Macaca fascicularis: one gene and its partners. The protein of the gene in region 3 interacts with the protein of the main gene of each other region in a biochemical or structural test. Links are inferred from orthologs where the notes say so. Each region holds a gene or a part of one and is shown on either strand. Other genes may lie near its edges.

Evidence for each region.
Region 1: of the proteins of PDK1 (region 3) and AKT1, one has a biochemical effect on the other in vitro, tested with the Homo sapiens proteins (3 studies listed by BioGRID and IntAct, with this or other methods). The link is inferred for Macaca fascicularis from reciprocal best matches to the Homo sapiens genes PDK1 and AKT1.
Region 2: the proteins of PDK1 (region 3) and PDHA1 form a complex in vitro, tested with the Homo sapiens proteins (2 studies listed by BioGRID, with this or other methods). The link is inferred for Macaca fascicularis from reciprocal best matches to the Homo sapiens genes PDK1 and PDHA1.

What each region holds. Positions count from the first base shown.
Region 1 is NC_088381.1:172,972,599-172,976,243, forward strand, and holds part of AKT1 (RAC-alpha serine/threonine-protein kinase), read right to left. Parts: intron 1,615-3,645; coding exon 1,486-1,614; intron 1-1,485. UniProt on the Homo sapiens protein: AKT1 is one of 3 closely related serine/threonine-protein kinases (AKT1, AKT2 and AKT3) called the AKT kinase, and which regulate many processes including metabolism, proliferation, cell survival, growth and angiogenesis.
Region 2 is NC_088395.1:19,218,200-19,221,844, forward strand, and holds part of PDHA1 (pyruvate dehydrogenase E1 component subunit alpha, somatic form, mitochondrial), read left to right. Parts: intron 1-825; coding exon 826-952; intron 953-2,610; coding exon 2,611-2,702; intron 2,703-3,645. UniProt on the Homo sapiens protein: The pyruvate dehydrogenase complex catalyzes the overall conversion of pyruvate to acetyl-CoA and CO(2), and thereby links the glycolytic pathway to the tricarboxylic cycle.
Region 3 is NC_088386.1:68,102,467-68,106,211, reverse strand, and holds the start of PDK1 (pyruvate dehydrogenase (acetyl-transferring) kinase isozyme 1, mitochondrial), read right to left. Parts: upstream 2,799-3,745; 5' UTR 2,668-2,798; coding exon 2,472-2,667; exon of another isoform or gene 2,355-2,471; intron 2,328-2,354; exon of another isoform or gene 1,949-2,327; intron 132-1,948; coding exon 1-131. UniProt on the Homo sapiens protein: Kinase that plays a key role in regulation of glucose and fatty acid metabolism and homeostasis via phosphorylation of the pyruvate dehydrogenase subunits PDHA1 and PDHA2.

The DNA of each region.
Region 1 (3,645 bases), on a different chromosome or scaffold from region 3:
AGGCCTGGGGGCCAGGAGGGGGCTCGGGACCAGCCTGGTGGGGAGGGTGGCCTGTGTCAACACAGGCCAGAGAAGTGGAAACCAGTGTGAAGCCCCGGCACACCCACCTCCCACTTGCTCCTGGATGGTCTGATCTGCCCTAATATGCAATCCCCAGGGCCAGGGTCTCGAGCCCACTGCCCCGGAACCCTTCCCCGGAGAAAAGCTCCTGGCCCCTGCCCAGCTCTGCTCCTTGGCCAGGCACTCCAGACCACCCACCTATGGCCTCATCTGAAGGCCCCAGCCTTGCCGGCTGCTCAGGCACCACCCCAGCTGGTACCCACCCGTGTGCCTCCCCAGAGAGCTCCCCTCTTCCTTCCTTCCTGATGCCTCGGCCTGGCGAGCACACCCACAGCACCCGTCCCCAGCAAGGCCCTGTCCCAGGTGCCACCAGGCACACAGCGAGTATCCAGCCTCTCCCTGATCCCTGAAGCCGCCAGCCCCAACCAAGGAGACACTGGGGAGGGCGTGGGGCAAGTTACGCAGCCCTGCCACATACAGATGGCCCACAACTGGGTCCTACTTAGCTACTCAATCACACCTTTGGCTGCCACGGGCAGAGCTGGGCTCCAGGACAGGGACACAGAAAATGGGGACCATGCTGGGAGGCCCATGTGCCCCCAGCCTCCCACCTAGCAGGGCGCCTGGGTCTCCATGCCAGGGTTCCCGTCTAACATGGGTAGGGTCGCACCTGCCCCCGCTACAGGTAGGAAATAAAGCCACAGCAGGGCGAAGCAGGGAGTGTCACGTCTCTCATCTCTGTGGGATGCTCTGGCCAAGGTCCCCCGCTGGCCTTTCTGCACCCGCCCCTTCGTGGGCAAGGAGGCTTCCAGCCTGCAGCCTCACAGAGGGAAGCAAAGGTTCCACCACGGGGTTTGGGGACCGAGCGCCTGTGCGGGCAGAGGCATGAGCTCTTCCTCGAGTGATGGAGGCTTCAGAGCTAGAGACCCAGGTGGGCTCTATCTGCCCCGCTTGGAGGAGGGGCCCCCGGGTCAGCTGTCCACCCTGAGGCTAGGCTCTGCTACCACTTGTCTGGACCCTCCAGCCTCCAGAGCATGGGCACCAGGGAACTGCTCCACAGTCAGCCAGCATTGGGACTCGGCCCAGAGACCCCCGCCTAGCCAGCCTCAGGACTCAGCTCAGAGACCCCTGCCCAGCCAGCCTCGGCCTCGGGACTCGGCCCAGAGACCCCCGCCTAGCCAGCCTCAGCCTTAGGACTCAGCCTGGAGACCCCCACCCAGTCAGCCTCGGCTTTGGGACTCAGCCTGGAGACCCCTGCCCAGCCAGCCTCGGGACTCAGCCCAGAGACCCCCACCCAACCCGTGCTTGTTGCTTGCTGGCCCAGAACATGGAGGCTCCAGGGCACCCCCATCGGGGGGCCTGGTGGGCAAAGAGGGCTCCAGCCAACCCCAAATCTGAATCCCGAAAGGCTGAGGGGACACTTACGTGCCACAGAGAAGTTGTTGAGGGGGGCCTCACGTTGGTCCACGTCCTGCGGCCGCTCCTTATAGCCAATGAAAGTGCCATCATTCTTGAGGAGGAAGTAGCGTGGTCGCCAGGTCTTGATGTACTCCCCTACGGACGTGCAGGTGGTGAGGGCCATGCACACTCTACCCGTCAGACCCTCGCCAGGCAGCCAGGTAGCAACTGGTGTGCCAGGACAGATGTGCCTGGGACGCCTGAGTCCCGGGGGGCAGGCGCAGTGGGGGAGCTGTTTCTTAGGGCAAGCGACAGAAACAGCCCTGGGTCAGTGGGAAGGCAGACTCGCCCCACCACAGCGCCCCTCTCAGAAGAGCCACCCCTATCTGTGTGTGAAAACGGGCTGGGCCAGCTGGACGCAGGGGATGGAGTACCATTGACAGGAGGCTGGGAAGAGGTCTGGGCCAATCTGCACAGCCTTCCTGGAAGAGGCAGCACCAAACCAGCCAGTCCCCAGCAGGCACCAGCAGCAGCTCCGGCACCAGCTATGGCCACAGGGGCTGCAGGGCTGAGAGCATTCCCCAATCAACCAGGGTTGGCCAGGTGGCGACAGCAGCTGACAGTGGCATGTGTGGGCTGTCCAGCAGGGCCGCCCCCCGACCCCTGCTACCCACCAAGAGGATGGAGCATGGCGTCAGCAGTGAGAGATCAGCATCACTCAGACTGAGGGCCGGGCTTGCGGGACAGGACTGCCCCACTGCCGTGGGACAGCACTCCCTGTCTAGGGGCCTGGAGCACAGTCCTGGGGACTGCCAGTGAAGCCAGACACGGAGGTGGCCCAGCCAGCTGGGCAGGGGCCCCGGGGCACAGAGGCTGTCAAGTCCCCAGGCTGAGACCCACACTCAGGCCCTGCCGTCGTCGGCCCTGCTGTGTTCCACCCATGGGTCACTCAGGTACACGGGAATGTTTTCCCTCAAGTTTTGCAGCATCAGCCATGCGCGGGCGTTCACACTTCAGAATCAGAGCAGCTGTCCTCGGTGATAGCCCAGCAACTACCATTTTTCATACTGACACTTGGAAAAAAATGTTCCACTTACATTTTGCCGAGCAAGGAGTTTGAACAACAGGGAACTTACTAATTAGGCAACTGCTTCATCTGAGGGGCCACTGGGCAGGGGTTGGGGTGGGGGCCAGGGTAAGGGGTTGGGGTCCCTGAGCTCTGGGGCCTGGGTTTTCCTGCCACACTGAGCCCCTGACCGGGACACCTGTAGGGATGTGGGGGACAAGCAATTGTCCCATCACCAGACCACCCACCACCTGGTCCTGCTGGGTCTGCATGGTGAGCCCAGACGTGTCCAGCCCTCCCTGGTGCACAGGGAAGTCCCAGCAGGGCAGCAGCCCCAGGGGAGCTCAGAGGACACAGGGCGTGGGCATCCCAGCGGGCAAGGCATTCTACTTTCCAGGGAGCCACGGGCGAGCTCTTTCAGAGGTGAGTCACCAAGGCTCGACAAATGGCCACCCCCCGGCCAGGTGACCTCTCCCTCCTGCCCCAGTCCCAGCTACCCGATGCCCTTCCCACCAGCACCATGGGGTGTGGTCTCCACAGGACCAGCCCTCACTCTGCCCAAGCCAGGGCTGCTGGGGGGATGCTGGTGGGGGTGGGGACACTCCACCCAGCAGGGCCTGAGTGTGGGGACAGGCTGTTGTCCGGTCTGGGGTGGACCGGGGAGGGGACAGCCACAGTCCACCCAGCAGGGCCTGAGTGTGGGGAGAGGCTGTTGTCTGGTCTGGGGTGGACCGGGGAGGGGACAGCCACAGCCCACTCACAGGTGCCTGACACCCCTGGAGGATGGCCAACACCCAGTTGCCCATCTGGGGAGGAGGGTCTAGGGCCCAGAATCTGCCCCAAGCCCAAGAGCACTCATCAGGGGACCCCACCCACTCCACTGAGCCCTCCATGCCCCTGCCAGTGGGCTGCCGGGCAGGCGTGGTCCGGCCACCCTTGGGCGCCGGCTCCTGTCCCTGGCCTGGGATCTCACACGCACACCCCCGAGTGTGCACAGAGACGCACATACGTGCCACGCAGCTCCACCTCACCTCCCAGGTCCCCTCCCCCAGCCACAGGACCCCTGCAGGTGCAGCAGGCAGGCAGGGGCTCTCAGTGAGAGCAGAGCAGGCTCGGGGGCT
Region 2 (3,645 bases), on a different chromosome or scaffold from region 3:
GAGACGGGGTCTCACTGTGTTGCCCAGGCTGGTCTCAAACTTCTGGGCTCAAGTGGTCTGCCCACCTTAGCCTCCCAAGGTGCTAGGATTATAGGCGTGAGCCACTGTGCCTGGCTGAAGCCAGTATTTTAGAATTAAAAAGTAGAATGCCAAAACCTGCTATGAAGCTTAGGCTAAAGAATTCATTCACACATAACATTGCCAGTTTTCTGTTCTCAGAGTTTTACTATTTTAAAACTTTCTGGCACTGTGATCACCTGTACTGTATATAATTTGGAGAGAAAGGATTAGTTTGTTTTTTGTTTTGTGGGCTTATGTCAAGGGTTATAGAATCAAATACCTATAAGGGCCAGCCAGGTAGAATAAATGAGTGAAGAAGGCTAGGTATACAAAACAGAATGGTGACAGGGACTCGTGCTGAACTGGGACCAGCATGCCCTACCCAGAGGAATGCCATGACTTGGTTCCAGCCAGTTGGTGCCATGTGGAAATCAGGGGTAATGCTTCCTGTTTTCCATGTCTCCAAGAGAAGGCGGAAGTCTGGATTTTCATGTGAAATTCCCCAGTGTTTTAATGTTGACATCTGATGTAGGATTTGCTTTTAGGTCACCATACAGGAGAAAGGAAGGAAGTGGCCCATGTGTGGGTTGCCAGTTTATTGCTTCTGGCTTGGGCCGTCCGCTCTGTATTTTGGTGGAAAATAGCTACTTTCTCTGGTTATTAATGACAGGTTCTACTAGCCCAAATATTTCACTACGGTCTAGGAAACGTTTTTATTTAGAAACATGTATCGTATTGCTTCATAGTTTCTCCTTCCTCTAACAGGAAGCTTGCTGTGTGGGCCTGGAAGCCGGCATCAACCCCACAGACCATCTCATAACAGCCTACCGGGCTCATGGCTTTACCTTCACCCGGGGCCTTTCCGTCCGAGAAATTCTCGCAGAGCTTACAGGTTTGCTGTTGATTTACAGAAAGGGGAAATGAGTGGATTAAGTTTTTAAATATCTCTCATTAAGATGCTATTTTATGAGTTAATATTTAAAGTTTTAAGTTTCTTTTTTTAACCCTCTCTCCTTTGGTGCTCTGGTACTTCTGTTGTGCTCTTGAGTTAACTGACCATTTGTGAAGTTCTCTGGCCCCTCAGGTAAAAGTTTAAAACAGTTTAGTGCTATAAAATCACAGTAGATTTGGTTATCATTCAAGCATGCCAGCAGAAGTCTAGCAGTCATAAAAAAGTAAGTTGGGTTGAAGCTTGGTATGCGATGTAAATTCTAGAAATCTTCTTAATATTCCCCTTTTCTTTGTCCCCCTTGACTATTTTTTTGTTTTGGTTTTTTTTTTTGTTTTGTTTTGTTTTGTTTGAGACTGTGTCTCACTCTGTTGTCCAGGCTGGAATGCAGTGGTGTGATCTCAGCTCACTGCAACTGCCACCTCCCAGGTTCAAGCAATTCTCATGCCTTAGCCTCCCAGGTAGCTGGGACTACAGGCATGCACCACCACACCCGGCTAATTTTTGTATTTTTAGTAGAGATGGGGTTTCACCATGTTGGCCAGGCTGGTCTCCAACTCCTGACCTCAGGTGATCTATCTGCCTCGGCCTCCCAAAGTGTGCTGGGATTACAAGCATGAGCCACCACGCCTGGCCTGTTTTGTGTTTTTGAGACAGTCTTGCTTTGTTGCCCAGGCTAGAGTGCAGTGGCCTGCCTCAGCCTCCCAAAATGCTAGGATTACAGGTGTGGGCCACTGTGCCCAGCCCTTCTTCTTATATATATTTTTTTGTTTTGAAGACAGAGTTTCGCTCTTTTGCCCAGGCTGGAGTGGCTGGAGTGAAGTGTGATTTTGGCTCACTGCAACCTCCATCCCCCAGGTTCAAGCAATTCTCCTGTCTCAGCCTCCCGAGTAGCTAGGATTATAGGTGCCAAACCACCACAGCTGGCTAATTTTTGTATTTTTAGTAGAGACCAGGTTTCAGCATGTTGGCCAGGCTGGTCTCGAACTCTTGACCTCAGGTGATCTACCCACTTCGACCTCCCAAAGTGTTAGGATTACAGGCGTGAGCCACTGCACCCGGCCCTCCTTGACTCTTGAACTATGGTTGTCCCTCCATATATCCAGGGGATTGGTTCTAGGACCCTTGAATATACCAAAATCCTCAAATACTCAAGTCCTGAAGTCAGCCTTCCATATCTTCGGGTTTGCATCCTGAGAATATTGTATTTTCAATCCATGTGTGGCTGAAAAAAAAAATCTGTATAAGTGTACCCGTGCAGTTCAAACCCTGTTCAAGGATTGAATATATTTAGTGTACTAGTAGAGGAGAGGTCCTAAGATGTTGGTAACTGGTCAAAAAACCAAAAAAGTCTACGGTACCATCTGGACTTTTGCTAACATCTGAAGGAAACTAAGTGACTGGAGAGTAGGAAAAGCTGGAAAGGTTGAAGCACATGGAACTAGTAAAAGGACAAGCAGAAACGTGTTTGCCTGGAGAGACAGGTACTTAGATGACTGAATTGGCCTCTGCGTTCTAATGGTTGAGCCACTTGGGGTGTGGTTTGGTTTGCTTTGTAGAGTTGGTTTGTGCTGCACATGTGTATGTTCTGCCATTTCCAGGACGAAAAGGAGGTTGTGCTAAAGGGAAAGGAGGATCGATGCACATGTATGCCAAGAACTTCTACGGGGGCAATGGCATCGTGGGAGCGCAGGTAGTCAAGGACGAGGACTGTGTGCTGCTTTAGATTTGGCCCTGGCCTTTGTCTTCAAAAACTTTCCCAGCCCCAGACAACTTTTCGTGAAGTAGTATAGCCATGTGCTGCACAGTGACACTTTGGTCAATGTCGCATATATGATGGTGGACCCATAAACTTATAATAGAGCTGAAAAATTGCTGTCACCTAGTGATGTTGTAGTGGCACAACACATTACCTTTTCTATGTTTAGGTACGCAAATATTTTGCCTACAGGATTCAGTACAGTCACATGCTGTGCAGCGTTGTAGCCTAGGAGCAGTAGGCTCTACCATACAGCCTAGGTGTGCAGTAGGCTGTACCTTCTAGGTTTGTGCATTACAGTATGGTGTTCACACGACAAAATAGCTTAGTGATGCAATTCTGAGAATATATCCCTGTTGTTAAGCGATGCGTGACTGTATTTTGGGGGCTTGGTTTGCTTTTAAAAACCTAGTGCTTCATATCCTACCATTTGAGCGATGAGTTGAGTAGATTTGGATGGTGATTTATAATGTTTCCTTTTAGGTGTCTGCTATTTTATAAGTAAGCAAGAGCCTCTAGCAGTGGAGCCTACCTTCCCCTTCCTATTTGTATTTCAGTACATTGCCTTATCTTGTCAACTTCATTATGGAGTCCTTGTTCTCATCAGTTAGTGAATGATGAAGAATTAACAGCACAAAATTATATCCCAACTGTTTCTTTTCCTAGTATATTAAGATTCTATTATGTGTTTTTTTAAAAAACCTACTTTTTTTTCCCCCCTTTTTTCTTTTGAAATGGAGTCTTGCTAAGCCGCCCAGGCTGGAGCAGTGGTGTGATCTCAGCTCACTGCACCTCCACCCCCGGGTTCAAGCAATTCTCCTGCCTCAGCCTCCTAAGTAGCTGGGACTACAGTTAAGCGCCACCGTGCCCAGCCATT
Region 3 (3,745 bases):
CAATTGAACGGATGGTGTTCTGAGAAGATTATCTGGAAGGAGACTTATTTCTTTCATTATATTTGCCAGTCTGACAGGCAACTCTTGCCGAAGAAACATAAATGAGGTCTTTTCACAAGCATTCACTGATCCTGAAACCAAACATGATGGGTAAAGCAGTAAGTAAAAGCCATAAGGAAACCGAAGGCAAGAGGCAGGGAGAAATGAGAGGCAGTTACCTGGCAAGGCCAGAGGGGTAGAATCACCACGATGGGGCAAGGAATAGAAGGCAAAGGTATCCCTGCCTGTGGGAGGTGAGGGATGAGATAACCCAGTCTCCAGAGTTATGACATTCCAATTACTGACATTCCAATGGCTCTGTACAGCAATTACGATAACCTTGTCTCCCTAACTTGTATCCTTATAGTGATGACCCATTTTAGAAGTGAGGTAAACTGAGCATTTCTGAGCAAGGCTTTATAAAATTAACAGCAGAACCTGGAAAAGTCTAGCCTGTACACCCTGTTGCTGCTATCATTTAGAAAATCTGTTTTTTAACTCTAGTTTTAAAAAGAGTTAATGTCTAAGAAACAGAAACTTTAAGGTGGTCTGAATGCAGTGGTATTTACGACTAATTGATTACGACCAGTTACAGATTTCTTTGTTCCTTCTCCACTCCCACTGTTTCACTTGACTAGCCTTAAAAAAATAAATTAAAAACAGGGGGCCAGGCACAGTGATTCATGCCTATAATCCCAGCACTTTGCGAGGCCGAGGCTTGAGGACTGTTTGAGCGCAGGGGTTCAAGACCAGCCTGGGCAACACAATGAGACCTCGTATTTATAAAAAATAAAAAACAGCTGGGCGTGGTTGTGCTTGCCTGTAATTCTAGCCTTGGGAAGCTCAGGCAGAAAAGTGAGGTTATAGTGACCTATGATAGCACCACTGCACTCCAGCCTGGGTGACAGAGTAAAACCCTGTCTCAATCAAAAAGAAAAGAGTAAAATTTTGATGTTTGCATATGAAGATTCACTGATTCCATATAGAACCACAAATGCTAATTACAGTAAGCAAAGAGTAAGTGGAGTCCAGGTGTGGTGGCTCACACCTATAATCACTTTGGGAGGCCAAGCTGGGAGGATGGCTTGAGCCCAGGAGTTTGAGACCAGCCTGGACAACATAGCGAGACCCCATTTCTAGTTTTAAAAAATACACACACACACACACACACACACGGGAAAAAAGAGTAAGTGCAGAGGAAAGCTTTCAAGCAACAGAAAGCAAAAACCACCACTGCCTGTTAGCACCATCTTCAAGTAGGTCCTATTCAATTGTCTGGTTACTGGAAAGTCTCCTGACCCCTCCACTCCCATATCACGATCCCATATCACTTCCTAAGCAGAATCGTTGTAGAATGTCCTTTGGCAAACAGCTCCACTTAATATTAAACTAAAAGGTCTTGCTATTCCAGTAATGCATTTTAAGCTTACTATTCTTGCTGCTTTAGCAGAGAAAACGTTAGCAAAAACTAGACTGTCAATAGTAGAAATTAAGTTATTAAAGGAAAACAGCTTGTGAAAGTTTCATGGCATACTTATGACCACCACCAAATTCGCCCCTACGTCGAACTAGTGTCATTTTAAAGTAAAAACAAAAACCTAAGGCTTTGACCCAAAAATTATGCGACTATAAACCACAGTTTTAAGACAAAGTTGTCAACCATGCAGGTATCATTCAATGCAGAAGTCACAATGCAGAAGATAACCTTTGTACTCAAATTTTATGAATTCATTAAGGTTTTCCCTTTTCCCCTCATTGCCTTGATAGGTAAGTGGGAAGTAAAAGTTAAAATGCCTAACTATGCAATTCCTTCTGCAATCTGTTTAACAGCTTATCGAGAAAACAAGGATAATCTGGTAAACTTCACAGCATCCTGTCCTCATGCACTCAACACGTGCTCAAGACTTACTTGCTGATGATGAAATGCGCTGTTGGTGCAAACAATTTATGCTACTGGCAAGGAAAACATTCTAAGAAACTCTGGGCCAGTTATAACCTGCCTTGCCTATCATCACGCCATTTCTATGCAATCAGCATATGCAAAACTGGGCATTCATCATCACTGCGCGGAATCCAAAAGCGATCCTCGGGGGTGTCCACGCTCGGCCTCCCACGCGGGCGCGCCTCCTCGGAAGGGGCCTGGCCGAGCGCGCACCTGCACACGTGCGCCGGAAGGCGGGAGGTCATTCCGCGCGGCCCAGCTGGTTTGTTTTCAACAATACGATCAAAGCCACACGCCCACCGTTATTTACGCCGTCAGCCAGCGCCGGCACTTGGAGGAAGGAAGCACCTAAGGCGCTGGGGGCGGAAACACTGAGGAGGAGGGCTGCGCCTCAGGCGAGAGCTGGCCGGCACCGACCGGGCCTGGAGCAGGGGCCGCAGCTCCCCGCCTGGGACCGCGCACAAAGGCCCGAAGTCCGGGCCGCACTCACCGAAGTCCAGGAACTGCTTCATGGAGAGCGGGGACGGTGAGAAGCGCGCGTAGAAGTCCACCTGGCCCGGAACGCCGCGCTCGGGCGCCGGGCCGGAGCCCGAGTCCGAGCTGAAGGAGCGGCTGGGGCCGGCGGCGCGCAGCCCCGGGCCCGGGACGGGCAAGGCAGCTCCGCGAAGCAGCCGCGCCAGCCTCATGCCGAGCCCCGCTAGAGAAGCCAGAGCCCGGGCGCCACGTTTCCCCGCGCCTCTGCCGAGTGGTACGTGAGGGACGTGGCGGGCAGCAGGGGAGGGGAGCGGCTGTCACCGGCGCGGCCCCCACCCCTCTCGCCGGAGCCCGGCCCCCTGCGCCGCTGGGCGGGATGCAGAGCGGGAAGGAGGCGGGGAGAGAAAAGGGGGCGGGCGCTCGCGGGGCCCGCCCCCTCGCCGGATTCCCGCCCAGCCCTGCGGGGAAGTAGATGAGGAGCGCGCGCCAGGCCGCAGCCGGCGAGGTGTGGGGTGCGCGTGGCAGTTGTTCCCGTACATTTCAGGTGACGGGACCGGGGACACTAAGAGGCGAGGCGGTGTGGAGCGTCCCCTTCCCGCGCCCTTTTGAAACAAATCCCACCTTCCTGCTTCCTCTGCCCTCCTAGTCTCGGCCAAAAGGCTCAAGGACAGGGCGGCCCTCCGCTTGCACACACCGCGGTGTCCTGCTGCGAGCGCGTTCTAAAACCGCTTCTCTGTGACGCAAGCCACACATTTCAGGGTCAGAGAGCTTCAGGAGTCCCCGCTTGCCAAACAGTGGTACGTAAATACGAATGCTGAAGAGTGGGACGTGTGGCCCTAAATAGTATCACCGAGACGGCGGCCCCAGGAGGAGAGACGTACTGCCATGTACTGGCTGTGTGCCTTTGAGTTGAGCTCTTTAACCTCTCTGAGCCTCCATCTCTTTACCTGAAAAAGGAGCGTAGTATCTGCCTCAGTTGCTCTGACATGGGTAGTAGAGCTATCTGTGTTAGCACAATGCCGGGGACATACCAGATAATAAATGGGATTTATTTTTACCATTATTGCTTTTTAAAATTATGTCCTTATTAAGATTTTATCAGAACCACTTACCTGTGTTTTCCCTGAAGCACATTTTACCAAAAGTTTGAGAGAAAACAACAGTTTTTGGCCGTTTTGTAACTATTTGACGTATTCGAGTATCAGCAGTTCTTCTCCCACACTGACTGTAGGTTTTAGAAAGTGTAACGGGTACATAGTTTTGTGAACCCCGAAAGTAAGAGACAAGTCT